Ovis aries: one gene and its partners. The protein of the gene in region 1 interacts with the protein of each later gene in a pairwise test. Links are inferred from orthologs where the notes say so. Each region holds a gene or a part of one and is shown in the gene's direction. Other genes may lie near its edges.

What was found.
Region 2: the proteins of FATE1 (region 1) and GPR25 interact in binary tests that used the Homo sapiens proteins (3 or more experiments, as listed by UniProt). The two-hybrid records come from large-scale screens. The link is inferred for Ovis aries from reciprocal best matches to the Homo sapiens genes FATE1 and GPR25.
Region 3: the proteins of FATE1 (region 1) and SEC22C interact in binary tests that used the Homo sapiens proteins (3 or more experiments, as listed by UniProt). The two-hybrid records come from large-scale screens. The link is inferred for Ovis aries from reciprocal best matches to the Homo sapiens genes FATE1 and SEC22C.
Region 4: the proteins of FATE1 (region 1) and SYNDIG1 interact in binary tests that used the Homo sapiens proteins (3 or more experiments, as listed by UniProt). The two-hybrid records come from large-scale screens. The link is inferred for Ovis aries from reciprocal best matches to the Homo sapiens genes FATE1 and SYNDIG1.
Region 5: the proteins of FATE1 (region 1) and BNIP2 interact in binary tests that used the Homo sapiens proteins (3 or more experiments, as listed by UniProt). The two-hybrid records come from large-scale screens. The link is inferred for Ovis aries from reciprocal best matches to the Homo sapiens genes FATE1 and BNIP2.
Region 6: the proteins of FATE1 (region 1) and SMIM14 interact in binary tests that used the Homo sapiens proteins (3 or more experiments, as listed by UniProt). The two-hybrid records come from large-scale screens. The link is inferred for Ovis aries from reciprocal best matches to the Homo sapiens genes FATE1 and SMIM14.
Region 7: the proteins of FATE1 (region 1) and RPRM interact in binary tests that used the Homo sapiens proteins (3 or more experiments, as listed by UniProt). The two-hybrid records come from large-scale screens. The link is inferred for Ovis aries from reciprocal best matches to the Homo sapiens genes FATE1 and RPRM.

What each region holds. Positions count from the first base shown.
Region 1 is NC_056080.1:84,015,792-84,020,520, reverse strand, and holds the start of FATE1 (fetal and adult testis-expressed transcript protein), read left to right. Parts: upstream 1-1,826; 5' UTR 1,827-1,885; coding exon 1,886-1,994; intron 1,995-2,940; coding exon 2,941-3,056; intron 3,057-4,729. UniProt on the Homo sapiens protein: Involved in the regulation of endoplasmic reticulum (ER)-mitochondria coupling. Negatively regulates the ER-mitochondria distance and Ca(2+) transfer from ER to mitochondria possibly implicating it in the regulation of apoptosis.
Region 2 is NC_056065.1:78,883,114-78,887,690, forward strand, and holds GPR25 (probable G-protein coupled receptor 25), read left to right. Parts: upstream 1-1,644; 5' UTR 1,645-1,723; coding exon 1,724-2,848; 3' UTR 2,849-3,622; downstream 3,623-4,577. UniProt on the Homo sapiens protein: Orphan receptor.
Region 3 is NC_056072.1:14,701,473-14,705,584, reverse strand, and holds part of SEC22C (vesicle-trafficking protein SEC22c), read left to right. Parts: intron 1-1,916; coding exon 1,917-2,035; intron 2,036-3,453; coding exon 3,454-3,519; intron 3,520-4,112. UniProt on the Homo sapiens protein: May be involved in vesicle transport between the ER and the Golgi complex.
Region 4 is NC_056066.1:42,084,836-42,088,947, forward strand, and holds part of SYNDIG1 (synapse differentiation-inducing gene protein 1), read left to right. Parts: intron 1-3,513; coding exon 3,514-3,672; 3' UTR 3,673-4,112. UniProt on the Homo sapiens protein: May regulate AMPA receptor content at nascent synapses, and have a role in postsynaptic development and maturation.
Region 5 is NC_056060.1:48,740,204-48,744,315, forward strand, and holds part of BNIP2 (BCL2/adenovirus E1B 19 kDa protein-interacting protein 2), read left to right. Parts: intron 1-958; exon of another isoform or gene 959-1,080; intron 1,081-1,295; 5' UTR 1,296-1,352; coding exon 1,353-1,402; exon of another isoform or gene 1,403-1,419; coding exon of another isoform or gene 1,420-1,463; intron 1,464-2,285; coding exon 2,286-2,353; intron 2,354-2,825; coding exon 2,826-3,002; intron 3,003-4,112.
Region 6 is NC_056059.1:59,422,875-59,427,447, reverse strand, and holds the start of SMIM14 (small integral membrane protein 14), read left to right. Parts: upstream 1-1,300; 5' UTR 1,301-1,523; exon of another isoform or gene 1,524-4,573.
Region 7 is NC_056055.1:156,127,663-156,131,675, forward strand, and holds RPRM (protein reprimo), read left to right. Parts: upstream 1-1,572; 5' UTR 1,573-1,770; coding exon 1,771-2,100; 3' UTR 2,101-3,006; downstream 3,007-4,013. UniProt on the Homo sapiens protein: May be involved in the regulation of p53-dependent G2 arrest of the cell cycle. Seems to induce cell cycle arrest by inhibiting CDK1 activity and nuclear translocation of the CDC2 cyclin B1 complex.

The sequences.
Region 1 (4,729 bases):
GAGGGAAAGGGACTGAACCTGGGTCTCCTGCATTGCAGGTGGATTCTTTACCATCTGAGCCACCAGGGAAGCCCACATGTTGCTTACTTATGCTAAAAAAGAAAAAAAAAAGCATTGCTTATTTGAAATTCAAAGCCAGTGGGCATCCTATGTTTTTCTCTGTTCAATCTGGCAACCCAGGCCTGCCAGAAACCTATGGCTGGTTCCTGCTTTGCAGGCTCGTAAGTCCCACAGAGCACACTTCTTTCTCCTAAGGTGACCCTTCAGAAAGCTCAGATTTCATCACAGCTGCTCCACCAGAGCTGGAAAGGGCTTCTCCTGGGCCCTCAGGAATGCAGGCAGGGCCTTTGTAAGCTCTGTTCTAGAGAGCTTGTTCCTAGCACTGGACAGGTGGGACCAGGGAGGGGGTTAGGCAACCCAGATCAGCCGCCCTCTCTAAGGGAGTTGGCCCCTCACTTTCTTCTCCCTCACTTTTTCCTTCCTCCCTTCCTCTCCTCCCCCTCCCCCTGTCCTCCTCTCCCTCCCACCTGGCCCCAATTGTGCTTGGTTTCTTTACAAATAGCCTCCTCTTCCTCAGGAGCTCTGAGGCTATTCCCAAGAGCTGAGGGTTCACCTTCGGTGGCTGTATGAGTCAGAGTTCTCCAGAGAAATGGAACCAATAGGAGGTATGTATGTGTATGTATATGTATTGTTGCACTCACTCACTGAGTCATATCTGACTCTTTGCAACCCCATGGACTGTAGCCCACCAGGCTCCTCTGGCCATGGGATTTCCCAGACAAGAATACTGGAGTGGGTTGCCATTCCATTCTCCAAGGGATCTTCTCAACCCAGGGATCAAATCTGGGTTTCCTGAACTGGCAGGTGGATTTTTTTTTACCACTGACTCACTATGCATATATGTGTGTGTAAAGAAAATTTTATTTAAAGAATTTGGCTCATGCCATCATAGAGCTAGCAAGGCCAAAATTTGCAGGACAAGTCAGCAGGTTGGAATGTTAGGGAGGGGTTGAGGTGTAGTCTTGAGCAGAATTTCTTCTCTGGGAAACCTCAGTCTTTGTTCTTAAGGCCTACAGCTGATTGAATGAGGCCCATTCACAGTATCAAGGATACACAATGTCCTTTACTTAAAGTCCACTGATTATAGACATCAACAGCTACAAAAAGTGCCTTGATAGAAACATCTAGACCAGCACGTGATGGAATAACTGGAGACCTTAGGCTAGCCACATGGACCATAAACATGACCACTGAGGTCTATTCAGTAGGGAAGCTGAGGGAAAATTTGACTTAGAATAGGGGGTGCAGGGCTGGGGACACTGGAGGCTCCAGTAAGCAGGCCCCTCTTCTGCACATCTCTCCTTTGGTTTTCATGGTTCCTGTCCAGGATGATCCAGGGTGTCAAAAGTCATGTCCCTTGCCTGGGAATTCTGGATGGGGTAAGGCAGGATGTGCTCTGTAGAGGATGCTTTCTGAAGGGGGCTATGGCCTGGACTGTTAACCAAAGCTGGCCTTGCAGAAACCACGGTGGGATCTAAACCTGCTTTGGCCACTGACCAACTCTGGAGTCCTGTGCCAGCCCCTCCCTCTATCTAGAAATGAGGTCAAATCGGATGAGCTGAGAGCCAGGGCAGCTTTCCCAGGCAAAGATTCAGAGTCTATCGCTTCTCCTAAGTTGCTTACAGAGTAGCAGAGAAGAAGACCTTGAACCCAGCCAGCAAGATACAGCAGGAACAGGAGGTGCTGGGTCTAATGCTTGAACTCAAAGTGGGAGTCTGGCTCCACCCCTGTGTCCAGATATATCTTCCGCAGAGAGCTGATTTCCCAAGCCTCCTCCGAGCCTTGGACCCTGTGCCTTCTTGGCCATTGCTTACAATTGGTGGTGATGGCAGGAGGAGCAGTCCCTAACCTCAAGGAAAAGATGCAAGTGCCAAAGGATGAAGACCTGCTTCTTGGAAGCTTTAGGGATAACCAAGAGCGCTCAGTGGCAGCAGGTGAGGATCCCCCGTAATGTCCCTTCCCTTGGGTATCTACACCTGTGCATGCATGTTAGAAAATGCGCAGGTTTGGCTTGGCAGAAGCATGAATGTGTGTTTGCATGTATTTGTGGGTACCTGTGTGTGAGGTAATGGGATTGATAAAAGTGAGCCTTTTGTAGCGTGTGACGGGGAAGGTTGGATGAACACCCCTCCCATTGCAAGCCACCAGTGGATCTTAATGCAAAACACTCAGTGGGTTCAATTTATAAGATCATTCAAAGCAATTCTCTCTCCTAACCTTCCAGTACCTTCTTCTGCCCTTTAGAGTAAAGCTCCTTTCCATGATCTACAAGATCCACATAAGGTCACCTCCTCAATATACTTCCTGCTGTGGCATGCTGACTCAGTCCACAGTGCCTTTAAGCCTGTCCTGTAACATCCCAAGACTCTTTCTTCTTCACAGCCTTTTCACTATGTGTTCCCTCTTTCCTCAGATTTTCTATGGCTGGACTCTTTCTCTTTCAGGTCTCTGCCTCAGTGTTGTCTCTGACTTTTCTAGAAGTATCCCCTTCCTTCTGTCTTGTTATCCTGTTTTTATTGTTTTGGGAGCATGCATCTCTTGATTTGCACTGATGGATTATTTCCTATAACCCCCACTCTCGTTACCACTTTCTCTGTACACACACAAACAATCAATTTTTTATTGCTGTGATCTTATTTCTTGGCCATTGCTTGCTCTTTAAGAACCTAGCCCAGAGCTTGACACTCAGTAAACACTTACTATATTTTGAGTACATGAAGAAATTGAGACCTGAGATTAGCCAGTAGATGCCAGAGAATGGGTGTTGAGTGCTTCCTAAGATGTTGGGGGACCCTATCCTATTTTTTGGTGTGTTCTGTGCCCATGAAACCTTGGGATAGCCTCTATGGGTATTCCTTGGGCCTCTGTTCTTCTCCCTAGAAATGAAGGAGCATATATCTCGGTTGCTGGGTGCTTCTCAGCGGCGACAGAAGGTGGATCCAAAGGCTGTTGGCTCTGCTGCGGTTTGGAATATGGCTGCAAACCAGTCCAAGAAGGTGGTACTGTATGGCATTTGGTGGCTAGCTTGAGTTTGGGGGAGTTTGCTACAGTTGTAGCAGCTCTGGTATGGAGATGGTAGGTCAAGCAGGGCAGATGTTGACTTTGGGGGAAGGACAAAGCTCCTGTGTTCTGGGCAGGCAAATGAGGGCAACAAGGTCTGGCAAGAGATCATGGCCATTCTTTGTTAGTTCAACCTTGAGGGTCCAGAATGTCTGAAACACACATTGCTTGTGGAGTACATATCTACTTTCTTTTATTAATAAATTAGTAAATATATCTATATTTGAATCTCTATATGTATATATGTATATATCTATATGTTATGTCTACTCTCTATATATATTTCTATATAGAAATATGCAAAAGTATAAAAATCATTATATATATATATATATATATATATATATATATATATATATATAGTTGCTGTTTAGTCTCTAAGTTATGTCTGACTTTTTGAATCCCCATGGACTGCAGCATGCCAGGCTTCCCTCTCCTCCACTATCTCCCAGAATTTGCTCTAATAAATGTCAATTGAGTCAGTGATGCTATCTAACCATCTAATCCTCTGCTGCCCCCTTCTCCTTTTCCGTTTAATCTTTCCCAACATCAGGGTCTTTTCCAGTGAGTTGGCTCTTTGCATCAGATGGCCAAAGTACTGTAGCTTCAGCAACCATCCTTCCAATGAATATACAGGGTTGTATATATATCTCTAAGCATATATAAATATAGATATACATGTATCTATATCTATCTTAGGGCTGGGACTAGGGTAAGGCAAGTGAAATGCCTATGCTCTCTGGCTACTAGGAAATCCAGTCAATTGAATCTGAGCATTTTGTAGCCAATCCTTTAAGTTACATTCTATATGAGTGAGGGAATGTTCTAGAAAAAATGGTGGCTATACTGTTGCAAAAGATACTGAGAAAAGGCAGTCATTTTGGAGAAGAGAAAGTCCTGACTCTTCTTGGGAATCACATGAATCCCATCATCCTTCTGTAGCCAATTCTTTTAACTACATTCATCTTGGGTGACAGAAAATTTTAGAAACATAGTTGTTAAACCACTGCACGTTTACTGGGAAAGGGCAACACCTTTGGAGAGGAGGGAGACCTGAGTGTTCCAGGCAATCATGTGAGTCTCATGTTTTGTAGCCCATCTGATAAGTAAGCTACTTTTGCTGCAGATGCTGGCAATTTTAGAAACATGGTTGTTTTACTGTTGCAAAGGTTATAGGAGGTAGAGGGAAGGCAAATTGACTGGAGAGGCAGGAAGACCTGATGTTCTAGAAAATCAGCCGAGTTACATTTTGTTCCTCTGTAATGAATTTTTAAAATTATACTAACCATATGAGGGAATGTTGTAGAGAAAATGGTGGCCATGTTGTTGCATTCAGTTCAGTTCAGTTCAGTCGCTCAGTCGTGTCCGACTCTTTGTGACCCCATGAACCACAGCACGCCAGGCCTCCCTGTCCATCACCAACTCCTGAAGGTTACCCAAACTCATGTCCATTGAGTCAGTGATGCCATCCAACCATCCCATCCTCTATTGTCCCCTTCTCCTCCTGCCTTCAGTCTTTCGCAACATCAGGGTCTTTTCAAATGAGTCAGCTCTTCACATCAGGTGGCCAAAGTATTGGAGTTTCAGCTTTAGCATCAGTCCTTCCAAA
Region 2 (4,577 bases), on another chromosome or scaffold:
ACCCCACTCCAATCAACACAGAACAGAACGCAACACACACGCCTCTCTGCGGCCCCGGCCTCAGTGGACTGATGGGCGGACGGTGCCTGCGTCGTTTCTCGCCGGCCGCCCAGGCCTGCCCGCCTGCTCGACTACGAGAGCCCCGCGCCTCGGGCCTCTGAGATGGGTCACTCCTCTCTGTCCCCACTGCCGGTCCCCTGTCTGACACTCCCCGTCCCCTGCACACGCAACAGCAGCCTACCGCGGGGCTCCGCTGTGGCCTCTGCGTGTCCCTCCACAGCTTGGCACTAACTTGCCCTGAGGGTGCAGGTGGGCTCTGCCCCCTCCGCGTGTCCAGGGGCCTCTCAGTCCCCACCTCGGGTGCCAGGAAAGACCCAGGACTTCCTCCTCAGTCAGAGGGGCTGCCCCCTCCTCCGAGCTCCAGGGGGACTTCATTAACCTTCACACCAGGACGTGTGACCTCTGGCACGCCGGCCACTGCACATGGGACATACAGATCTGTCTCTGGGGCCTGATTAGTGACCCTCCAAGGTCAAAACCGGCATCTCCTGTGACACCCAAAACGGGGCCTGCCACACGGAGGCGGTTGCTGTAACAGGGCTGTACGGAATAAAATGGAAAAATAACCCTCCTCGAATTTTTAACGCCAGATGACCCAACCGCTCATCCACTCCTGGTGACAATGAGGCACGGCTCTGTGGAGGACTCACTGTCACAGCTCACTGCAGCAGCTCGCGGGAGGACGTGCCAAGAGGAGCTGAGGCCCGACAATGCCCAGCATCCTCGGGAACCCTGCCCCCATCCTGTCCCTGGCCCACCGCCGCCTCCAAGGCCAGGCTACATGCCCACCCTTCTCTCTGAATCCTTCCTGCCTCTCAGTCCACAAGGGATCCCGTCCTCCTCTGAAACTCCCGACTCCTGGTTGAGGACAACGCCTCTGCCGCTGAGTCCTGCTCCATCTTGCGCTCCGGGCCTAGCACCCATAGGCTCCGTTAGGTAGGTTCTGCCCAGGAAGGAAGGTGGGGAAGGGCTGGGGTCTAGATTCCAGGCTTTGCTGCCTCATCTGGACAGGCTGACCCTCCCTCTTCAGGTGCAAACCCTCCCCGTGGCTCCCTGAGAACCTGAGCTGGTCAGAAATGCCACCCTGGGCTAAGACACCAGACCCAGCAGCTCAGGGAGCTAACGGCATCGGAGAGTCTGGTATTCAGCCCCTGACTGTAGGGAGGCCCCCAAGGGCAGGCTCCCTCCACGCGCCGGCTCTGCAAAGAGGCCAGGGGAATCTTGGCAGCTGGCACCTCCTTGGGGAAAATCCTAAGAGAGAGACAGACAGTAGCCGGTAGCCAAGAAGGGGTGAGAGGGACTGAGGCTCTGAGCGCCTGTTCTACCGGGCCTCCGGGCCCTGAAACCGTTGACACTCCTAGTTCAATAAAACCAGTGACTGATGAGGGACAGGTCAGGCTCCCACGGGAGGCAGGGCGCAGATCCAGCCGGGAGCTTTTCTTCCAAAGACCCAGCTGGGAAGCCACCTCCCCGGCCCTCCGCCCCACCGCGAATCTCGCCCCCCTCTCTTCCCAGGCACCTGCCCCTCCCCCGCCCCCACCCCTTCCTGCCCACCCATTCGCCTCGGCCCGCGGCGGCAGGAAGGGAGGTGCTGGGCTGGGCACGGGCCGTGAAGAGCCACCTTCCCTCTTGGCCCCGCTACCGCCACCGGGCGTCTCCGGCCATGAGCCCCACGGAGCCCTGGAGCCCCAGCGCGGGGACGGCGCCCTGGGACTATTACTCGGGGTCGGGCGCACCGGGCGAGCTGGAGCTGGAGGAGCTGTGTGCGGCGCGGGACCTGCCCTACAGCCACGCCTACATCCCTGCGCTCTACCTGGCGGCCTTCGCCGTGGGCCTGCCGGGCAACGCCTTCGTGCTGTGGCTGCTGTCCGGGGCGCGCGGCCCGCGGCGGCTCGTGGACACCTTCGTGCAGCACCTGGCGGCCGCCGACCTGGGCTTCCTGCTCACGCTGCCGCTGTGGGCCGCGGCGGCGGCGCGGGGTGGCCGCTGGCCCTTCGGCGAGGGCCTGTGTAAGCTCAGCAGCTTCGCGCTGGCCGGCACGCGCTGCGCGGGCGCCCTGCTGCTGGCCGGCCTCAGCGTGGACCGCTACCTGGCCGTGGGCCGCCCGCTGGCCGCGCGCTCCCCGCGCTCCCGGCGCTGCGCGCTGGCCGCCTGCGCGGGCGTGTGGGCCGCGGCGCTGGCCGCCGGCCTGCCGTCGCTGGCCTTCCGCCGCCTGCGGCCGCTGCCCGGCGGGGGCCACGGCAGCCAGTGCGGGGAGGAGCCGTCGGACGCCTTCCAGGGCCTGAGCCTGCTGCTGCTGCTGCTGACCCTGGTGCTGCCCCTGGCCGTCACCGTCGTCTGCTACTGCCGCGTGTCGCGCCGCCTGCGCGGGCCGCCGCACCTGGGCCGCGCGCGGAGCCGCTCGCTGCGCATCATCTTGGCCGTCGAGGGCGCCTTCGTGGGCTCCTGGCTGCCCTTCTGCGCCCTGCGCGCCGTCTTCCACCTGGCGAGCCTGGGCGCGCTGCCGCTGCCCTGCCACTTGCTGCTGGCGCTGCGCTGGGGCCTCACCGTCGCCACCTGCCTGGCCTTCGTCAACAGCTGCGCCAACCCGCTCATCTACCTGCTGCTCGACCGCTCGTTCCGCGCGCAGCTGCGGCAGCGCGGGGCCTGCGGGCGCGCCGACCGCCCGGCGCGCTGGAGCAGCTCGGCGTCATCACTCTCCGGCGACGACGGCTCCCCGTTCAGGAGCCCGGCCCGCGCGGGCGGCCGAGCCCAGACGGCGAGCGCCCCCAAGGCTGTCGGCCCGTAGCTGCTCGGCCGGCGGGCTGCGGGTGGCGCAGGGAAGCGAAGCGGGCCGCTCCCCACCGCCGCCTACCTCCCCACCTCCCCGAGCGCAGCGGACTGCTCCGCCGGGTGCGCGGGGCCTCCCGGGGTCTCCCTCACGAGCTTTCCCAAAATCTCAGCTCTTCCAGCGTCCACCCCCCCCAACCCCCGGCTCGGCTCCGGAGACCCGCTCTCCTCCTGCTCCGCCCAGTGCGCACCTGAGCTTTGTCTCCAGCGCAGTAAACGTCCTGCGAGATGGACCTGCCACGCCGACCCGGGCTCGGAAAGGGAAGTGGCCTCCCTGCTCTGCGCCCTGGGAGAGACGCCCAGAGGCCACTCTCGTCTCGGCGGCCCGTTACCTTTGGTCCCTACAGTCGCCATTGCCTGCTGAGAAATACCTTCTCCAAGCCGAACCCTCTGGCTCCTCTCCAAAGAATCCCGGACCTTTGCGCTCTGCCGTCTTGGTGGCTGTGCTGAGTCACGCGTCCGCATCTTCAATTTCAACACTCACCAAAGCATGGGGAGCACGGTGCTGTCGCGCTCACCCCTTCCTGCTGCCAGCGACCCCAGGAGGCCCGTCCTTCATCTCCCCAGCTCCCAAGAAGCCGCAGGACTCACCCTGGACTTGGGCGGGTGCCTCCCTGCAGACAGAGGGTTCCAGCATCTGTCCCCGGGCACTCGGATGCTCTGACCGGCTGCCACACTGGGCCCCGCAGTGTGAGTTCCCCTTTCTCAATAAACACTTGCTGCCCTCACCCGACAGCTGTGTCTGCCTTTACTTGAGTGTAAGGGACTGAAATGAGTGTGAGGGGGCCACTTAATCACTGGGTCAGACAAAACTCAATCCAGGAGTTGAGGCTGACCTCAAAGTGGTCAGGATTTGGTGTCAAGTTGGGCTAAGGACAGCGGCCCCGCCGTGGGCCCCCCAGGAGGGCAGCCTGTCTTCTCTTCTTACTATTTTAAAGGACGTTTCCCATTTTGGAGGTTTCAGAGAGAGAGGGAGGGGGAAAAGACTGGAGCACAGCTGCCAGCCAGGTGTCACTTCAAAGCGGAAGTGTGGCCTTGTGGCTGTCAAATCCTGGTGGAGCTTTCTCCTCACTCCCTTTGGGCCCATCCAGGACAAATGCTGAAGGGCATCCATGTTCTGAGTCTGCGGCATCCTTGGGGGTTTCTGGAGGGGTTGGGAATTCAGCCTTTATACTTTTAAGCAGATATGGCCTAAAGAAACGTCAGTGCAGGAAAGAACTCAGGAATTCTCCTGGAGAGCCGATCTCACCAGGCCTGCGCCAGGCATGGAGGGCAGCCTTTGGGGCTGTTGGGTTAGAGCAGACTCACACCGCCCATCTGCTGCCCTAGGAGGTAACACTGGGAAGAAACACACCCAGGCCTGTCCCCCCACACCCCAAGGGAGGCAGGCCTTGCAGCCGTGGGGTCACCGGGCTGGCAGGACTGATTCCAGACGCTTCAGTCTTGGAGAGGTCAGTGCACCGTGGCCCTTCGGACCCTCCCCGTCACTCTCTGAGACAAGACATGACCGAGTCACAGGCCGAGGCCCCAGCTCACAGCAGAGGTGCTCTCCTGGGCTGTTCCGACGAAGCCCCCATCTTAAGGCCTGCCCCCTTGCTTCTCCCGATTTGCTGGTACACCAAGCCCCCAAAGACAGATGGAAAGGAAGCTTCTCCACCTCCAACCCCCTACCTCACCAGAAGTTATCA
Region 3 (4,112 bases), on another chromosome or scaffold:
TCTCTCTCTCTTTGCTTTTTTCCTTTAACAGTGAGTCCTTATCTCATCACTACAATGGTGAAACATTGCAAATCTCCACCAAGAAACCCCCACTCCTTGATGGAGGGAGTGGAGAGCTGTGGGGATGAGAGTGGGCAGGGGTCAGGACCAGGCCTACTGGACCTCTCGCTTTTGGGTTCTCTGTGGGACCCAGAGACATCTCTCTATCCCTTCGGATTTCTGAGTCCTTGTCTGAGGAATGAAGTGTTGATGAACATATTCGCAGTGCCCTGGCATCCGTGACTTAGTCTGCCGCTAACAACATGAAGCATTCAATACCTGGCACATAGCAAAGCATGCTTTTTTGTATTGTTTGTTTACAGTTATATCCAGTTAAACCAACTTGGATATTTGCATTCTAAGAACTCTGTAATAGTATAATCCTTCCCTGGAAGATAGAACCATCTATGCTATAACAGTCTAGTCACTTTGTTAACAGTTTTATGCTAAACTCATTGCTTGAATTTTGAAAGTGGTGTTTTTAAAATGTTTGCATTTTTTGGCTTAACTTTGGTTTTTGATTTGAACTATTTCAACCAGTGAGTTCCTGGATTGACTCTTATGCCCTTCAGTCAGTTGTTGTAATTTACACTGGGATTGGACTTCACATTCATGGAAGGACGACTGGGGCATCAGACCCCAGGCTTCTCCTTTGCTGTACCTGAAGGCAGGGTCACTTTGTGATGTATGTTTTGTTTTTTAACCACGTAGACAAGAGGAGCAAATGCGGAAGGTGACAACTTGCCTATCTTTCTATGACGTTTTACTGTGGTTTGACTCCCCCACTATTGTCCCAAGTCTAGAGTCTTAACAGGTAGCTCTGTTCTGAGAGGAATTTTGATAGTTTAAACTAACACACTAACAGTAGGCTTCAGTTGGGTTGTTATTGTTGTTGTTGTGTATGTGTGTGTGTGTGTATGCATATGCGGGAAATGGGAGGACAAAAAAGGATGATTTAAAAGGAGGATAGCAAGGACTTCCCTTGTGGTCCAGTGGCTAAGACTCCACAGTTCCAATGCTGGGGACTGGAGGTTCACCCCTAGCCGGGGAACTAGGATCCCACGTGCCGAGTGGCACAGTGAAAAAATAAAATTAATAAAAGGAGCACAGCAAGAGAATGGGTGGGACCCTGCTTAATGGTGTGAACCAGAATCAGTTTCAGCAGTTATCTTTAAAGAGGGAATGATCATATTGTCTTGATTAGAGTTCTGGAAATAGCTTGTAGCTGAAGTAATACATGTGTCCCTCCTCTTCCCAATAACTTTGAAATTTTAAAAATCACATTTGCTATGAATTGCTCCAGAAGCACACAGGACATTGAATATTGTCCCTACCAGAAAAAGAATGGAACATTTTACATGCTGATGGTTGAAGTGTGTAATAGAAAAGCTTTAGGGTTTGACAGCCAATTTACAACTAAAGCCATAAATAGTTTTAAATCTGGATTTCTCAACCTAAGCCCTACTGACATTTTGTACTGGAAATTCTTTGTTATGGAAGCTGTCCTGTACATTGTAGCAACCTGTTCCCAGGGAGGACAACCCAAAATGTCCCTAGACATTGATTGAAGAGCCTTATCATCTCTGGCTGAGAACTGCTGGTTTAAATAGAAAGGAAATGAAGCAGTTAAGAAAATCTATCCTTGCTTAGAGAAGGGGCTCTTTCTCGAAGAAATTCACCTTGAATTCCCAGATCCTTTCTGTCCTTCATCCCTTGCCTTTTCCCACTCTAACTACAGCTGCTTTTTAAATTAATAGGTTTGCAATTGTGTGTTTAATTGAACTTTTTCATTAGCAGAGATCTAGTTCATGTTTTTACTTTTTTTTTTTCATATAGAAATTGTTTTCACTAAACACTTCCTTTTCTTCCTTATGAAGCTCCTAGTTTCCGAATGGAACCAGTGACAGCCCTGGGCATCCTCTCCCTTATTCTCAACATCATGTGCGCTGCCCTGAACCTCATTCGCGGAATTCACCTCGCAGAACATTCTTTACAGGTAACCTTTTCTGTACAGTTTAAATAGAAAGACACGCAATGGAAGGAGCAGATGTGGGTGCATATTATTTATAAGGTTATTATTCACTATGTTTTAAAAATTGAAGTAAAATTCTTACTTCTTGTTTTATTCTTCATAGTGAGTTGAGCAAATAAGAAACTTGCTCTTTTGTATTTGTTTTGCTGAGAAGCCAAAGGGGCTGCTGGAATACTGGTGAGAAATGGACAACTTGCTACAAGGACAGCCGGCCACCCTGTGGCCCTGGGGACACCGAGAGTCCCTGCAGGGGCTGGATTGTTCATCCCAGGCAAAGTTTGACTCTCAGAGTTTAAGATTCAGGCCCTTTTTCCCCTGGTAGAGTTGTCTCATAATCTGATTTATATCATTCAGATGGATACCAGCCTTCCCGTGTCTTTGTCAAAAGAACTGTATCACTATGAAGTTGATTTGCCAGCCTGCTCATCTCAAAGCAGCTTTTTATTCTAATGCTTTTTACTTATTATTTTTAAATTTTGAAGTATTTCAAGCACTTAAAAACAAGCATGGAACCATTATGAGCATGAACAGATAGATGTTAACTTTAAAAACAGAATTGGGGATAAGTAGATGCTAACTATTACATTTAGAATGGATAGACAAGATCCTACTGTTTAGCACGGGGAACTGTATCCAATCTCCCGAGATAAACCATAATGGAAAAGAAGATAAAAAAGAATATATGTGTGTGTGTAACTGAGTCACTTTGCTGTATAGCAGAAATTAACACAACACTGTAAATCAACTATCCTTCAATTTGAAAAAAAGCCAGAGTCACACCCAAGCCCATGGTAGCTAAAATCTGAAGTGCAGCTGAGGTTGAATCTCAGGGGCCTTACAGAGACCAAGGTGTTTGGGGAATGGCAGCATCCTGGGCCCTGAGTGGTGGCTGGCTATTTCCACACCCCATCTTTGGCCAACATGTGCTATGGTTCCCACTCTTATTGTTTATGATAACTCATAAGCAGATACTTACCAAATGTCTGTATGCACTGGAACAGGGGTTCGTTGCTCAAGACGTAGTGCCTCAGGGCACATAGCAGAGTATGGTGACATCACTAGGAGGTGGGAGGACCTGGGGAAAGTTAGTACTGACAGATGAGTTGGATTTTGAGAGGTTGGCGGGGCTGGGGGTGGGGACATTCCAGGTTGCGGGCTCAGCACACATGCATGGGAACTGGACGTGCTTGGTGTGTCCAGGCCATTCAGAAGGATTTTATGTCACCCCCTGGTCTGATACGTGAACAGGGGCTGGTTTCTCACCCAGGCGGGGATTTTGTACTGTTGGTTATACCAGACCCAATGCAGAGTAATGCACTTCATGTCACAGTGTTCATCCCCTCTAACTATTCCTTTTCTTGTGTTCCTCTTATTTGTCTTAGGTTGCACATGAAGAAATTGGAAATATTCTGGCTTTTCTGATTCCTTTTGTAGCCTGCATTTTCCAGGTAGGTGAAATGTTGATGTTTTAGTGAGTGGGTTAAACCCATTACCTTATTTTGCTCTGTTGGAACGATCAGTGAATTTCCAGATCCTGCTTTTGTTCCACCAAGACATTGGTTCACATCATGGACAGTCCCAGCCCTTAGCAGAACAACTTTCCACCCATCCTGTCCACTCCTCTCATTGTACAGAGAGAAGACTTTTGGGCCCAGACAGGGAAAGTCATTTGCCCTAGGTCTCAGGGACTTTGACAGTGCAGGACAGAAACTAGAAACTGGGACTGGGCTCCCAAGAAGTGAGGGATGAGACTGCAGTGGGGATTGGGTTGGGCCTGACCAGTGTGAGGCAGAGCCCTGCCTTGTGCTTATTGCTGGGCATCCAAGTCCAGAAATGTCTTTCTGCAGAACTGATGCCTAGGTATATATGTTTTTTTTTCAGTCACAGGACTGGGAAAAAAATTGTTGTTTCTAATAGAAATACCATCTGGGTCAAATCTGTCCTTAGGAAATGAAACAAAAATTATAATACTAACTAGAGTGCTTTGATTATTAGTTATTTTTGGGTAAGCTGTGTACTTAAGGGCTGGAGTAGGAAGGAG
Region 4 (4,112 bases), on another chromosome or scaffold:
GGGCAGACACCAACACAATACTGTAAAGCAATTATCCTTTAATTAAAAATAAATAAAAGCAGGAGAGAAGGGTCACAGCAATGCACGTGGAGCTGAACACACATAAGAAATGCGTGTGTGGGGCTGAGTGAGATGCGGCCGCAGAGGGTCACCCTCCCCAAAGGAGCCTGTTAAACCGCCACACAATCACCTCCTCCCCCCACACAGCTCCAAGTGCCCGTTGGCGCACAGCGAGCAGGAGACAGTAATAAAGAAAGGAAATCAGCTTTGCGATAATGCAAGGAAATGTAATCCAGCCCAACAGATATGGCGCTAGAGGAAAAATGAGCCATAAAGTGCCCAGCGTTCTCTAAATTTCCAGAGAGGTGGTTGGGAGGCAGAGAGTGTGTCCCTTGCGCTCCTTGGAGGTGGGAGTCTGGCACCAGCCTTGTGTCCTGCCCAGTCTGCCCCAGCTGTGCCTGGACCCGGCCCCTCAACCCAAGCAGAGAGCCACGTGGATGTGGACTCATCCAACCTCAGCGGTTCTTGCCCCTAAAATAAGAGACCATAGAAATAACATTAATAATAAAAATACAAAATACCATAAGAAAAATAAAGCAATGGGAACTTCTTGGTGGTCCAGCGCTTAGGACTCCATGCTTTCGTTGCCAGGGCCCAGGTTTGATCCCTGGTCGTGGAGCTAAGATCCCCCAACCCATGTGATCAAAAAAAGAAAGAAAGAAAACCAAAGCAGGGATATATTGCAGAGAAAGTCATGTTTTTCCTGAACCTCAAACAACAGTAGATATTTCTTAGCCAAAGGAAATGAGGACTCTGGCAAAAGCTTGTGGGAAAATCAGTCCAGTGCCAGACCCTGGGAGCATCGTCTCCCAGGGGTAGGGGGCTCGGGGGAGGTATCCCCCAGCAGGGATGGAGCTCTGGGCTTTGCCACGTGTCACGAGACCTGGAGACCAGCATCAGCCCCTGAGAGATTCCATCTGGGAGCAAGGCCATTGGGCCTCGGCCGGGATGCTCATTCCATGCCCCAGTCCTAAGGCTCCCATCATCTGCAGATTTCATGGGCCTTCCCCCCTCACAGGGTCACCCCAGCCTCCTTTATCTTGCCTCTGTTTCATTATCTCCGCCTGACACTGAGCCACCAAAACAAATTCACAGGTAAATGCAGAGGCAGGTGTGTATGTGGAACAGTTTCTGGTTGCGGGACACCCCCCACCACAGCTCCCCAGCACTGATGCCTGAACCAACCCTCCGGGGTTTCCACCTCCTTTGGGTTCATCCTGCCCCCTTCCTTTGAGCTTCCTCTCCTCCCTGCTCCCCGTGGGACCCTCTGCTCATTTCTTCTGGGTGTCTGCTACCCAACATGGTGGCCTCTAACGTTTGGCTATTTACATTTTAATTAATTTAAATCAGATGATATTAAAAACTCACAGTCACACTCACCACAACCCCACTGCTCTGAAGCTACAGGTGACTTGTGGCCACCAGGCTGGGTGGCGCAAACTTAACCACCTCCATCACTGTGGCCACCAGGCTTGGTGGCACAGACTTAAGCGCCTCCATCACAACAGAGCTCCCCTGCCTTGGCAGGCAGATTTCTTTACCACTGAGCCGCCTAGGAAGCCCACTGCATCAGGTACCATTGCTATCTATTCTTCGGCTGTGGTTGGATGTTGGGATGACTTCCAGGTCAGGGCTACAACAGTCGGTGTGGCTACAGACATTCTTGAAGGTGTCTTTGGTGCACAAATGCATCATTTCCCTTGAGCGCTTGCCGGGGACAGCAGAGGAGCGGGTAACACCTGTGTCGTGCGTGTGTCTATACATCCAGCTATAACAAGTGCTCCATTTCCCAAGTAGTCTAATCAGCCCACAAGCCTACTCCTCCTTAATCAATTTAATGACAATAGGCTCAACTTCTCATCTGTTTTCTTCTCCATCTACAGGAATTCACACTTTCAACAGGATCAAATGAGAGTGTGGGTTTCCGCTGTCTCTTTCCCTTGGAGCCATTCTGGGGGTGGCATGTATCTCTGTTCTTTTATGATGTACTCTGTGGGGCAAACCTGAGCCATTCTTGGGACAGTGGTCTGTCCCCACCCCTGCCTGCCCCCGTGGGGTCTTCCCCTTAGGGGTGAGACATGCCAGCAGGGATGGCTTGCCACCAAGAGTCCCGAGAGGGTCACTCTTGTCCTGGCAGCTTCCCACTGTGTTGCCTTCACTCCACTTCATCAAAGATCACCCACAGGGAGTCCCCAGGCCCACTTCCAAGACCCCAGATTGAGAAAGAAGACATAAAAACTCAAGAACCAGAAGTTAGAGAAATAAGGAGTCCCTTTTCCAGCCGACATCTCACTGAGTGGGTGCGGGAGGACCACAGAGGGCAGAAAGCCATTTCCTAGTGACCTCTGAGTCTGCCCTCTGACCACATCAAGTTTGCTGTTTGAGTAAACAGTGTGCCACCTCCCATCCTGCCCACAAAATGTAGACGTACATGTAACACACACAGAAGTGGGATCTGGTAAGAGGCCGGTCTCTGGAGATGGGTCCTGAGGGAGTCGAGATGTCCCACCTGGGGAGCAGGCTCCACCTTTGCCTTGATGAGAACACCCCTGCCCCCTGCCTGGGGTCAGCCCTCCTGGCCATCCCCTGGGGCTCCAGGGGCACCCGCCCTGGGGGGCCTCCACCCTCACCTGCCATCACTCAGAGAGCTGGCCCTCCATGATGTCACAGTTGAATCACGTACAGTCCCCACAGCCCAGTGCCTCCCTTGTCAAGGGGACAAGGAGGACGGGGCTGGCGGTGGGGAGGTGGGCACCCCACAAAGCATCAAATCCAACACGACATCCAAAGCCTCCATGCTCCCCTCCAACTCATGACCCCACAGATCGGGAACCTAGTGAAACCAGCGTGTCGTTGTGCAACTGGGTGACCAGAAATAGAGGTGTTGGTCTCACCCAGAGTCATTTCTCCAGTAGGTGAATTTACCACCCCCTCCATGGCGGGAAGGGGACGTGGGGCACACAGATCCTCAGCCACTGGCTGAGGAATGAAGTCTCAGTGTCCTCAGTGGACTGGACAAGCTTAGATGGCAGGTTCCTCTCCAGGTATAAGAACTACAGTTTCCTTCCCTGTGGGCCCCTATGCTGTAAGGACTAGAGGAGGTGAGTGTGAACACCCTGTAGAACTATCATTCGAGTGTCTACTGGGCAGAAGGAGGCACCAACTTGTAACGTCCCCACCCTCCACCCTGGTGCCCGAGACCCAGGACTCCAGTGGCTGGTGCTCAGCTGACCACTGCCGGTCTGGACATCCCTGGGGCTTCGCTTTCTTTCTCTTAAGCTTTGCCTGCCTTGCAGGGCAGAGGTGAGGGGGAGAGGGGACGGTGGTGAGTGACAGCACCTCTGCCTCCCCTCCCATAGGCTGGGAGCACTCATGGCCTCCCATCAGCCAGTCCCCTCTCTGTTCCCCTCGCTCATCTTGGCTCCCTTTCTCTTCTCCCTCCTCCCTCTGCAGACGAACAAAGCTGTGGCCAAGGGGGACTTCCACCAGGCCAGCACCAGCTCCCGGCGGGCCCTCTTCCTGGCTGTGCTCTCCATCACCATAGGGACCGGCATCTACGTGGGCGTGGCCGTGGCCCTCATCGCCTACCTCTCCAAGAGCAACCACCTATGAGCTTCCCCGGGCGCACGAGGAGCCTGGGCCAGTCGTGTGCGGGCACAGAGGAGCAAGGCTGGCCAGGGTGGACACACAGGTGGAGATACACCTGTGTGAGGCTGTTACAGTGTAAGTCATAGCCAATGACGCCACGAAGCCCTGGGATTTATGGATTCCCTTTGTTTTCACCCTTTCATATCGTTTTCACAGCACTGTGTAGAGCTTGGGACAAATGGGGCACCGCTGACCCATTCCCAGTGGATGCTCCGAAGATCCTGACCCTCAAGGCTGTCTCCGCATGGATCCTGGTGGATTAATGGCCAGTGCCCAGAATGCCAGAGCATTAGCAACAGACAAACAGGAACATGTGTTCATTTATTTATTTATTTTGGAATATGGTGCAACAGGAAGAGGGCGGGGGACGCATGCTCTTCTGCCGGTGGCCCTGCCTGACTCCA
Region 5 (4,112 bases), on another chromosome or scaffold:
GCCATGATCTTAGTTTCTTGAATGTTGAGTTTTAAGCCATCTTTTTCACTCTCCTCTTTCACTTTCATCAAAAGGCTCTTAGTTCCTCTTCACTTTCTGCCATAAGGGTGGCATATCATATCTGCATATCTGAGGTTATTGATATTTCTCCCTGCAATCTTGATTCTGACTTGTGCTTCATCCAGCCAGGGGTTTCATATGATGTACGATGTATATACGTTAAATAAGCAAGGTGACAATATACAATCTTGACTTACTCTTCTCCCAATTTGGAACCAGTCTGTTGTTCCATGTCCGGTTCTAACTGTTGCTTCTTGACCTGCATACAGATTTCTCAGGAGTTACTTCATTTTTTAAGTTAAGTTTAGTCATCTACTGATTTACTCTAATGTAAGTGAATCAGATATTCCATTTATACCTCCTGCCCCCTCAAGGTACCATAGTTTTTGTTGTAATGTTAACCAGTTGACCTAATGATTTCTTAAATATATTTAAACCTCTCTTTCATATTCCATCAACCTTGCCAAACTCTAGATCCGTCATTTTGTAAACTGAGGATAGTAACACCCATATCCTTCCTTAGAAAAACTGAAACTAAGTTAAAACATGTAGTGGCATGAATAGAAATATTCACTACGGTCAGTGTCTGAAAACTCATGCTAAAGTACATGAGAAAAGCTTGGTATAGATATGAAACAAATAAAAATATGGCAAAATTCATTTACTGAACAGGTACTGAATAGCCCTCTTTAAGCGGCTCAGAAATTGTGGCATTGGAATTATGGAGAAGTAAATATTAGAGACAGCACACCACGTGGGCTCTGCTGAATTAAGAGTATAAATGCTAGTTACTAGTGTTCAATTTCCAGAATTAACCTCTCTCCAAAGGACAGAAAATTTGATGATGGGTCTAGAATAGAGAATATATTTATTTACTTTTATTGTTTGTGCTCCTCAGCCCCCAAATTGCTTTTCCATAATTCACAGTACCTAATAAATGGTGAATCATGTCCTGGACACACACATGCATGTATACGTGTGGAATAAGTACTTCACTGCACAGCACCCTTATCACAAACGGTAATTTCTAGAATATATGTATTCTGACTCTTCTAATTCTTGGGGCGGGGGGAGGGGAATGGAAAGGAGTAGTTGCAACCCACTAAATTTATTTCATGATCGGGGTGGAAGTGTGAACTCAAATATAAGATTATTGCATCTTTTCAACAGATAATGTGGAAAATAAGCCTATGAAATTTTTTCTTGCTCTCTCTTTTCTTTTTTTTTTTTAACAGGATTTTGGCACTCTCGATTATCAGGAGTTTGTAGTTGACATTGAGTCCAGACTGAGGATGGAAGGTGTAGAACTTAAGGAAGAATGGCAAGATGAAGATTTTCCAATGTGAGCAACGTTTTTAAATGAAAACAGATTCAAAACAGAACTTCACTACTTCTTTACTGAGGTGTCACTTACTAAATGAATATTGATTGGACTTCTTAAAGAAACCCAGTGTTGCAAAATGTTCATTTAGTACTAATAATAGAGTCTTCAGAATTTCTAGAGGAAGATGGTCTTTAGAAGCCTGCAGGAATTATTAAATTTTATGCTTTTATTTTAAGACAAAAACTTGTTAAGTTAGACAAGGAAAGCTTTCTATATTATCTGGTGAGCTACCGTGACACATTTGTGTTTGTGTTTACGATTCTGTCGGCACTAGTTAGGGTAAGAGAGAGAGAGCAAAGGCAGACCGTATATTTAAGGGATACTTCTGTGCCATTTTGGTCAGAAGACCATCTCAGTGCATAAGAAGGTTACTTAGCAGTTGGAATAGGAACAGCTGGTGAGTACTGAGTCATTGCATAGCACAGCATGATAATCGTGGTACAGAAGTGCTGAGCTCAAAAACATAATCATCATGTGCATATTCCCATTTTAAGTGACAGTTTAGCTTCATCGTACATTGTATTGTACATTCCATTAAATTCATGCATTTGAAGCATATTCATTTTGTAAAGTAATGATTTTTAAAATTTGTTTTGTAGTTGTATTCAAGAGCTGTTACATAGGGAATATATACCTACTTTTATGTGTTACTTATATAGATATGTAAATCAATTGAGACAGTTTGAAATTTTTCTTTAACAGTAGTTTGTAAATTACTCAAGCTTAAGAAACATTGTTTTCTACATAATTGTTTCTATAAGCTATTTTAATAGATCTTTGAATGTCAAAAGATTTTTTTTTTTTTAATTTCTGGGTTAAAAATTATGTCTGTGTGTTTTAGACCTTTACCAGAAGATGATAGTATTGAAGCAGATGTATTAGCTGTAACTGGACCAGAGAGTCAGCCTGGTAAGAACTTGACACTTAGAAATAGACTTTTATCTGTGGTATTTCTTTTTAACACACTTTGTCAAGATATAAAATATACTCAGTTTTTGTTCCATCATAGGGTGCCAAAGGGTAAGTTAACTGTTTAGGAAAGCATTTTTGGAATGCTTTGGAATACTTTGCAAAAACATACCCTTGGGTTTTAGAAATTTTGATCATGAAGGAGAGAGGGAAGATGATTTTTAGTAGTAAACAGTGACTGGAAGTTTTGCTTCTGTTATTTAAAAAAGTATGTCCTTGCTGGGATGTGTCAGCTTGCTGTGATACAGAAACAGTAGTGATCAAAGTCCAAAGTTTGTACGTAAGGGCTTTGGAATTGTTTAATGAATGTTATTTTCTCAAGAATAAAGTGATTAAAGTTCTCTTATTCGATTTATGCATCTAAGCATCTTTTCTAAATATATCTTTGATTTTTCTTTTTAACCCATTCCAGGCTCGCTAGAAGTTAATGGCAATAAAGTGAGAAAGAAACTAATGGCTCCCGACATTAGCCTAACTCTGGATCCTAGTGATGGCTCTGTGTTGTCAGATGATTTGGATGAAAGTGGGGAGATTGACTTAGATGACCTAGATACACCATCGGATGACAGTAATGAATTTGAGTGGGAAGGTAGGTGTTTCGTTGATTTTACCTGACCTTTATTAATGATTGTTTGTGTTCATGTATATGCACAGTGGCATTTTCACTTGATCATGAAACCAACTAAAATCAGTGATTAAGGGATTTTTTTGAAATGAGATGTTATCAATTCTAAAGTTCATGTATAGGTTGTAAAGATATAAAAATTGGCTAACGTTGAATATTATGGCTTTCCAAACTGTTTATAGTAGATTACCTGTGGCTTTATTATTTTTTTTAATTGCCCAGTGCTATAAAATTATGTTTTTCCATTTTGCTCCCAAATATTGCTTGATAATTACAGCGTTCTTTTATTCAGTGGATTAAATAAGAGGGAAAGCACTGAAAAACATATTTCAGGGAATTCTTAAAAGTAGTTAAGAATTTGCAGAGAGGGAGTTCTATAGGGATGGTTTTGAGGTGTGTTTTTGAGGGTTTTTTTTTCAGTGGGTTCATCTGATAGTGCTGCACTTTGTAAACGACCAACTTGAACTAATGTAGTCTCCTTGACTCCACTCTTAGATTTGTTATCATTAGCTATTTGGAATTGAAAGGAATTGGCATGTGTTTTGCATTGCATGCTTCCTTTAGTTAGATAATTGCTGTCTAGTATCTTTGTAGTTGGGAATAACTTATATATGCATATTTCATCTTTTAAGTGTCTTTTGCTTCCAAGCAAAAGTTTAGCACTAGGTATGTTATCCGCAGTAAAGAGTAAGATTCTTAATTTACTTTATCTTTTGTTCTTTTTTCTTCCCCATTTTACTGGTTCAATAAGCAATCCAGTAGTAAACAATATTTTATAAAGATACTGAAATAGTTTTCTGCCTATGTGTTTTGTCTCTTCTTTCTTTAATGCTGCTGTAGTCATTTCCTGGAAGGATATTTTCCGTTAACAACTTTGTCTTGGAAACAGACAACTAACATACAGTAGGTTTCCCCTTCCCCCATCTTTTGGTAAGGACTGTGATACTAAAATTTTGAAAATCATTACATCATGAAAAATCAGCTAAAATGCAACCTTAAACTGTAAATTATACCTAATCACTGGTGCTTGTGCTTTGGCTAATGTCAATTTAAAATAGACTTTTGCATGTACAC
Region 6 (4,573 bases), on another chromosome or scaffold:
AGCCAAGAATATTGGAATGGGTTGCCATGCTCTCCTTCAGGGGACCTTCTGGACTCAGGGATCCAACCGGCCTCTCAAGTCTCCTACACTGGCACGTGGGTTCTTACCACTGAGCCACCTGGGAAGCCTCATAATATTTTGGATAAATCAGGTTAAATATACTATTAAAAAAAAAAAAAGCAGCTCTCACAGATTATACTAATTCACTGAAAGTGACTCAGCTAGTCGAGGTGATAAACCAGACACTGAGGTAGAAGTCCAGGTTAGGCGAAAAGGTCAACTCAGAATAAGGAAGGCAGTTCCTTAGAGCTAACTTTCACCTCTCCTGCACGATAGGCAAATAAGCACCTCTGTAAAATCTTTGGAACTGACACTTTTCATTTAACCACTAGTCTCGCTTTAATTAAAGCCTGTCCATTCATGGACCTAAGAAAACAAGAGTAGCCCGAAGTTTTCCCAAAGTGGGAAACTTCTCGGGCCTGTTGTTCAATGGGGAGACCTAAGAAGGCCAGAATGAGAGAGTAGGAAGCATCACCTTGGTTTAGAAAGAAATGAGGTTCTCACACCATAAGTATCATCCTTATTTCAGTCCCGAAGATCAAAGCAACAAAGGTTAGAGCTGACTGCCTAACAATAGCTTTCCTCTCCCAGTTCCCCATTATCGCTCTATCAGTCCTGCATTCCCGTAACACTCCTCTTGAACTGAATGCAGCCAGCTTTCCGAGCGCAGTTTGCCTCCGGGACAGGGGATCAATAACTGCCACGTCTGTCATACTTTTGTTTATATAAGACCAAACCTCGATCTCCAATTTTCACCTGGGCCTGAGTGATCCAAAACAATCTCTACAAGTCTCATCAGACACCACCTTGCGCCCCCACCTACCACTACCCCCGCTATTCTAAAGCCTCCAGCTGAGGAAAGCCATCAGCTTAGGCACCACTACCCCCGCTATTCTAAAGCTTCCAGCTGAGGAAAGCCATCAGCTTAGGCACCACTACCCCCGCTATTCTAAACACTCCAGCTGAGGAAAGCCATCAGCTTAGGCAAAGGGAGACACACTGTCTACGACACACGAAACAGAACCTACGCGGGCCACTTCAACAAACGCGGGGCCTCGCCCTCTCCATCACACAACGTTGCGCCCCACCCCTCCCAACCGGAACTGCAACTCCGGCGTTCCGTGCCCCCTCGAACCGCGTGACGCTCGCGGCCGCCCCGCCCCTCCGGACCCACTGGGCAGGCGCGGGGCGTGCGCATGCTCGGCAGGGCGGCTGCCTGGGTATTGAGCCGCTGCAATCTGTTGCGCCGCCGCCCGCGGGAGCCGGCAGATCCGGGTCTCGTGGCTTAGAGTGACGTGGTCAGTCGAATCAAAACAGAGGAGGGGAGGAAGCCGGCGGCCAGGAGCGGCGGCGGCAGCGGCTTCCCGAGCAGCCGCAGCGTTCCGGAAGCTCCAGGCGGTCTTTCTGCCGAGGCTTAGTCCGGGCCCCCATCCTCCCCGCCCCGTCGGTTGTTGTCTGGGCGGGTGAGTGTCTCCCATTTCTCCCACCGCCGTTTGCCGGCCCACCTTCCCCTCGCCCGGATTTTTCCTGGGGGCTCTGGCGGGCTGCGGCGGCTGCGGCAGTGCGGGGCTGCTTCTCGGGCTCAAGGGGTCCCCAACCGGGCTGGCGACTCTGCATCGGGAGAAGCCCGCTGCTGTCGAGCCCGCGTCCTCCGGCGAAGAGCCTGAGATTTGGCTTTCTCTGCAGGAGACCAGAGTCGGGACTTGGCAGGGAAGTGGACGGTAGCCACGGGTGGTTTTATTTTTAGGGCAAGCAGTCAACTCGGGTGGAGGCGTATAATGGAGTAAAAAGAAGAGTGAGTGAGTCGTAGCTGGAAGGAATCCCTCACAAACCTTGCAATCTTCACTAAATCATTTACCTCTGTTTCTCAGCCCTTGCCGATTCTGATGTAGTCACCGGGATGCGTCCTTTGTTGTGATTGATGAGACTAGAAAGCTGCCATCCAGAAAGCGGGAGCTTTTAGCCCTTATAGTGTTGTGAATTTAAAGGATTCCCTTTTTCTGTTTGTTCAGTACATGGAACCAGAGCTGACAGTAAAGAGGTGGTACCCTTTATTGGAACAGATAAAGTGCGATAAACTGGTTACCGGAGTACCCGAAGTCCCGTGTTACCATTAGAGCCAGTTTTCCGAAGTGTCAGTTCGTGTGTGTATTAGGATTTTAGCCACAGTGATGTTCGTTAGCTGGAGAGCGTCAATAGGGTGTTTTCAGTTGCCCTAGTTTACAGAATCGAGGATGTGGCCTTAGGAGAATGTCTTGGCTTTGCATAGAGAAAGTCGGATGAGCTTCCTGCACGTAATACCCACGTTTAAAGAGATCTTCCAGTTACTGTGTTTTGTCAGAAACCGTTGGCAGCGTAGAATAACTTGGACGGCGTAAGCCCTTCCAGGGGAAGTCTTGAGCCCCTTAGGAGGCGTTCTCACTGCCCAGTCTGTGGAGCCTGCAGGTTTGTGTTCCCTTCCACTTTAGATGACCCGCCACGCAGATTCTTCTGGGGTAGCCTGCTTCGAGCCCTGCCACCCTCCGCGCCTTTCCACCGGATGAATGAGACCAGAAGACCAAACCTCTGTTTTGTCCTTAGTTTTTTAAAGTTTTTTTTTTTTCCCCCTCCAGAGAATTCATTAAATTGAGGTGTTTCTTTAGCAAAAGGCAAGAAAGAGAGCTATGTATTAAATTGATTGTCATTTATCAAATCCAGGAAGAGGTCTTAGGAATTTGAACTACTCCCTTGAAGGGTATATTATGTCCTTGTGTGGTATAAAATGGACCTCTTCCTAGCAGGTTTCTTCCTTCAGCGTGTGCAATCGAGATCTTTTTTTCTTAATACCACAGTTGGAATGCTGCTGATCGAAACAAATGAAGTTATGTTTTCTTGAAGTTCTTTCTCTTTTTTTATTTTTTAAGCTAACCTATACCGAAATATTTTTGTTTGTATGAAATAATTTGTGATAATTGGAGAAAATGTTGATTAAAGCAGATAAATGAAAAAAAGAAGAAATGTCATCGATATTCTTGCCATCCAGAGACCACCAGAATGTCAGCAGTGGTTTATATCCTTCCAGACTTTTTTGCATTTAGATATTTTATACAGAAATGGTATCATACCTCATGTTCTTCTGTAACCTACTTTTTCACATATTAGCACTTCATTTTTGAGTAACATTACAATTTTTATAGATACTCTTGGACCTTAACTTTTATAGAATATTTGCTGTGTGTTTGCCAAACCATAATGATTAAAATTATGGTTTTAAAAGATTTCCTCTCAAATCTCTCATGATGATATTATAAGATTTATGAAATCAGTATGCATTGTGTGACAAACAGACTTTGCTTGTTTAACTCTTGGGAAAACAGGCACAGAATAGCCTGAGTTAACACTATGGAAGTTTGAAAAACTTTTGCTCACTTGGTGATTTGATTTAGTTGCCATAGCTCCTGTATGTCCCAAATGTTGACCAGCTGTCCATGCCTCCAGCAGTAAGGTCCTAAAAGATTTTACTTTATACACTTAATATGCTTTATGAACACTGAGTCTTGGATGTGTGCCTGCTTTTAGTTCAGTGCTTTATTAGTGGTGCCAAAAGAGAAGCAAGGTTCCCTGCACCTCAGCTTCAAAGGATAAGTACTTAAGAGTATCCTCGGAGAAGGCAGTGGCACCCCACTCCAGTACTCTTGCCTGGAAAATCCCATGGACGGAGGAGCCTGGAAGGCAGCAGTCCATGGGGTCGCTGAGGGTCGGACATGACTGAGCGACTTCACTTTCACTTTTCACTTTCATGCATTGGAGAAGGAAATGGCAACCCACTCCAGAGTTCTTGCCTGGAGAATCCCAGGGACGGAGCCTGGTAGGCTGCTATCTATGGGGTCACACAGAGTCAGAGATGACTGAAGTGACTTAGCAGCAAAGAATACCCTAAATATACTAATAACCCACTTGGGTCCCTTAGTCATAAACTTACCTACATGTGCCTTGAATGGTAGTGTTCAATATGTATTCTAGATTTGTCCACTTCTTCCCATCTCTACTGCTACCGCCTTTGCCAACTCTCACCGTATCTCACCTTGCCTACTGCAGAAACCTCTGGTCTTCCTGCTTCCACTTTGGCTTTTTATGGTGCATCCCCTTTCCCACAGGGAAAGGGATCCTGTAAAATGTCAGATCGTGTCACCCCTTTGTTGAAAGTCTCTCATCACATTCAGAATAAAATCCTACCTTTCTCAAGGTTTGCCAGGCAGTAGAGGTCTAGGCACTGCCTTCCTCTATCTCACCTTGTATCCAAATGCCTTGATCAGTACCCAGGAGTCTGGCAACAGCAGTTTCTTCCTGTGTTCCAGCTGCACTAGCATTGTGCTAGGGACTTGCCAGGTTTGCTCTTGCCTCAGGGCATTTGCACTTGCTCTTCCTTGTGGCTTCAATCTTCTCCCAGATCTTCGTGTAGCTGATTCCATCCTGTCATTCAGGTCTCAGTTCAGCTATTGTCTCTTCAAGATTGCTTCCACAATTATCTCAC
Region 7 (4,013 bases), on another chromosome or scaffold:
ATTAACTAAGACAGGCTGAATGTATAGTGAGATTCAAATAATTTTTTCCAATCAATAAATAATAAATTTGTCCAAATAAGAAATTATTGGGACTGGAGCATTCTTCAGGGCAATTATAACCATGGGAAATTAGAGCAATAAACCAGATGAATTATGGATGAGGCCGAGAAGCCTAGGTCTTCGCCTCCAAAATAAAATTAGCTACTTAGAAGCATCTAAACTTATTGAAGCTGGTATACAATCAACATCCCAGAGTTGGAAACTCTTCACTAAAATACAGTTCACTCTATTTTATTGTGGTCACAAAGTAGCACAAAACATTTAAGGAAAGCTTTGAACATGGAATAAATAATGTTTGAGGAGACAAAAATCAGAGGGTTTAACAAGCAAATATAATGGAGTTGAGAATAGAGCTGAAAATGGCTACTGCATTTTAACAGAAATTTAATAAATGTATTCTATGAAAAGTTTGAACTGGCCTTCAAGTTATTGGTTTCAGCTGTTACAGTTGAAAGAAAGAAAAAAGGAAGGGAGAGAGGAAGAAGTGAAGGGAAGAAAAAGAGTAGGAAAGATTAAAAAAAAACAACTGAAGTACTCTTCTAGGGCTCAATAAACAATCTGACAGGTTTGTAACATTTCACTGAAACCAGAAGAGGAATTATAATGGACTGAAGTCTCAATCAGGCCCTTAAAACATCTGTAGCTTCGTTTAAAATGACTAGGGAGAAATATATCAGCTTACGGAAAATGGGGAGATCTTCCAGGAGTTGGCCAGTGTTCTAGGTGATGGGTCCTGATGAGCAATTCCTTAAACAACTGATTTACTGCCAGCAGAGAAAAACATTGGAAGCACATCCAAAAACTCATTTGCAATTGAGATTACAAGGGTAGCCATTCTGTCCACCTTCCCTCCCTTACCAAGGAGGTGACCCTGTTCTTGGCAACCACAAAGGCCACAGAAGAACCCTTCCTTCCCTAAACCCTTTTCTTTTGCCCAAGAGTCTCTAGAAAATCTGCCTTACTCTGTTTTCCAATCCTTTCCTCTCTCCCTCTTTTCTTTCTTTTCTCTCCTTCCTTCCCTCCCGGCTCGTCGCAAGCGAGACAAAGTCAGGAACAGGCGGCGGGCCCATGTATTCGCTGACACCATCTGCCACCTGCGATTCATCGCCACTTTCCACCTCCCGGAGGTGAGGGAGGCGGGAGGCCAAGGACACGCAGAGCTTGTGTGACCCAGTTTTTAAGAAACTTTCCGTTGGTCGCAACCCTTCCCCACCCGAAACTCTTCAATCATCCATCAAGCCAGAAAAGCGATCTCTGCCTATCCTTGGAGCTGGAAAAGTGGCGAAGCAAGGAAAAATAAGAGGTTCGCCCCATTCCTTTCCCCCACCGCCCAGCGGCGGCGGGCGCAGAGCAGCGGTGCGGCCAGAAGGGGCCGCTCTGGGCTCAGAGCAGTTGTCCTACCGCCGCCGTCCGCACCTCCCACGGCCCGGCTGGCCCAGCCCCGCCAAGTTCCAACAGCCCCTAGTCGAGCGAGCGCCGGGAACGAGCACCGCCCGGGCAGAAGCACACGGCGCAGACCAGCCAGACTGAGGCGCGCGGCGAGAAGGCTCCGGCGAAACTCTCACCAGCCGGGGACTTTGGAAAGAAGCGAGCGAGCGGTCCCCGCGCGCGCGAGTCCACAAGTGAGCGCTCAGCTCACCTGTTTCTGCCGCGCTACCGCCTTCCCACCCCTCGGACCCTCGCCTCCCGAGCCGCCCGCCCGCTCCCGCGATGAATCCGGCGCTGGGCAACCAGACCGACGTGGCCGGCCTGTTCCTGGCCAACAGCAGCGAGGCGCTGGAGCGCGCCGTGCGCTGCTGCACCCAGGCGTCCGTGGTGACCGACGACGGCTTCGCGGAGGGCGGCCCGGACGAGCGCAGCCTGTACATCATGCGCGTGGTTCAGATCGCCGTCATGTGCGTGCTCTCGCTCACCGTGGTCTTCGGCATTTTCTTCCTGGGCTGCAACCTTCTCATCAAGTCCGAGGGCATGATCAATTTCCTGGTGAAGGACCGGAGACCGTCTAAGGAGGTGGAGGCGGTGGTCGTGGGGCCCTACTGACCGGCCCCCGGCCCCCGCGGCAGCCGCCCCTCGCCTCCCCACCTCGCCAGCCCGGCCGCGCCCTCTCACCATGCGCGACTGGGCGAAGCAAACCTGTCGGAGTCAGTTTTTTCTCTCGACTCTTGCCTTTCGGGATGAAGCGAACCCGTTTATCGCTCGCCCTCTGAAAGTCCCCAGGCCTGGCAGTAGGAAAAAAGAGCCTTGACTCTGGACTCAGCAGCAAGTGGCAAGAGAAGGCGATTAGGGCGCAGAACTTTGGAAGCTGCCGCTAGCGCAGAATGCGGGGACACCGACCCAGGCCAAGGCCCTTTTCCACCCGCAGGTGGGCCAAGCTCGGGGGTGCAGGTGGAGAGGGTGGGCAGGCGGAGACCAACGGCACCTATTGCCTGGTGACCGGAAAAGTGACCCGCATATATGCCACTTAACCGAACTATCGGGGACACGCAAACCGTCTCCGGGTTCGCGCGCATTCCCTCCAGCTCCTTGTAGCCCCGGCAGGACAGGCGATAAATACCTTTGATTGATTGTAACGTGACGTTTTAAAGGGTTTTGTGTTTGTTTGCTTGAATACAAGTATTTGATAAGTCTTTTTCCGCCCTAGTGGCCTGTTTCCCTGCCTGGGGGTTAGAGTTTTGTGTTAGGGGAAGGGGTGGTGGAAGGGGAGCCTGCGAATGTGAATGGGGTGACAATTCTTTTATTGCATTTCCAACTGGGTCTGGGGCGGGGGCGGGGGGGGGGACGGGGACTGGCACTCTAGCTGGCCCCGGGCAAAGATCCGGGATAGAACTCCTAGCTCGTGACTGCACGGTTTACACCACAAAAGTGCTCTTGACATTGGTGACACCGTTTTGACTTTTCTTTTTTTCTTATTTAAAATTTCCTTAATAAATGCAACGTTTAAGTGTTTTTTTTCCTGGCCTCCTGGTGATCATTCTACTCTCTGGGCAGAAGGGAACGGGCGACGCTGAGGGGTCAGGTTACCAGTCCTAAGTGGAATTCGCTTTGGCGAGCTGCGATTCAACTCGCGGATCCTACGCAGGCACAACGGAGGGGCGGGGGGGGGGGGGGGGGGGGGGGGGGGGGGGGGGGGGGGGGGAGCGAGACAGAGAGGCCCAGGGACGAGTGCCCTGGCCAAGTCTCAGGCCCTGGACCCGTCCTGGAGGCAGCATCCTTTGTTTTCCCTTTCAGTTAATATTTTATATTTCATTTAGGCTCAGCGCTGTGAGCCAGGCGAGAAAACGGGAGGCCCCCGCGGGAAGATTACACTTCCGTGCAGGGCTCCGGTGGGAACACAGGGTTACACCGCTAATGAAAGGAAGAGACGGCTTGGCTAGGCTTCAGGGAGGGCATCTTCTCCTGACCAACGTCAGCCAGCAAGCGTCAGGATTCTGATCAAAAAAAAAAAAAAAAAAAGACGAGGAAAAGTAGTTCCTAAAGTACAGAGTGACAGAGTGACGCTGATTCTCCCCGGGGTACACCATTGTTACTAAAAACAAGCGTGTATTGCCTTTGTCATATTACATTTTATATCTGAAGGGCGAAAGTAGAAGATAAACGCGACCTGGGTAATCAGTCCCAGGACCAGCCAAAAGGTTCAGAGGAGTTAACCGAGGTTCTGAATGTCATAGATGTGTGTAACCCAAACTTGGAAGTTGGCCGGAGAGGAGCTACAGATGGTCTTTGGGCTCAGAAATTGAAGGGGATTTGGAAAGAAAAGCCTGGAAAACTGTGAATGTGAAAATAACCCAAAGGATACAATAGCTTTGAGCTGTAACTTGACAACAGATTTTGAGCAGTTTGTTTTTACACCTGGGGTAGGATCCTAAATATTTTCAAAAATATAAAGAATCCTCTGCTATGGTATAGCAATTAAAAGCGTCACTGTAGCAGATACAAGGTGGACTAAAATTAAC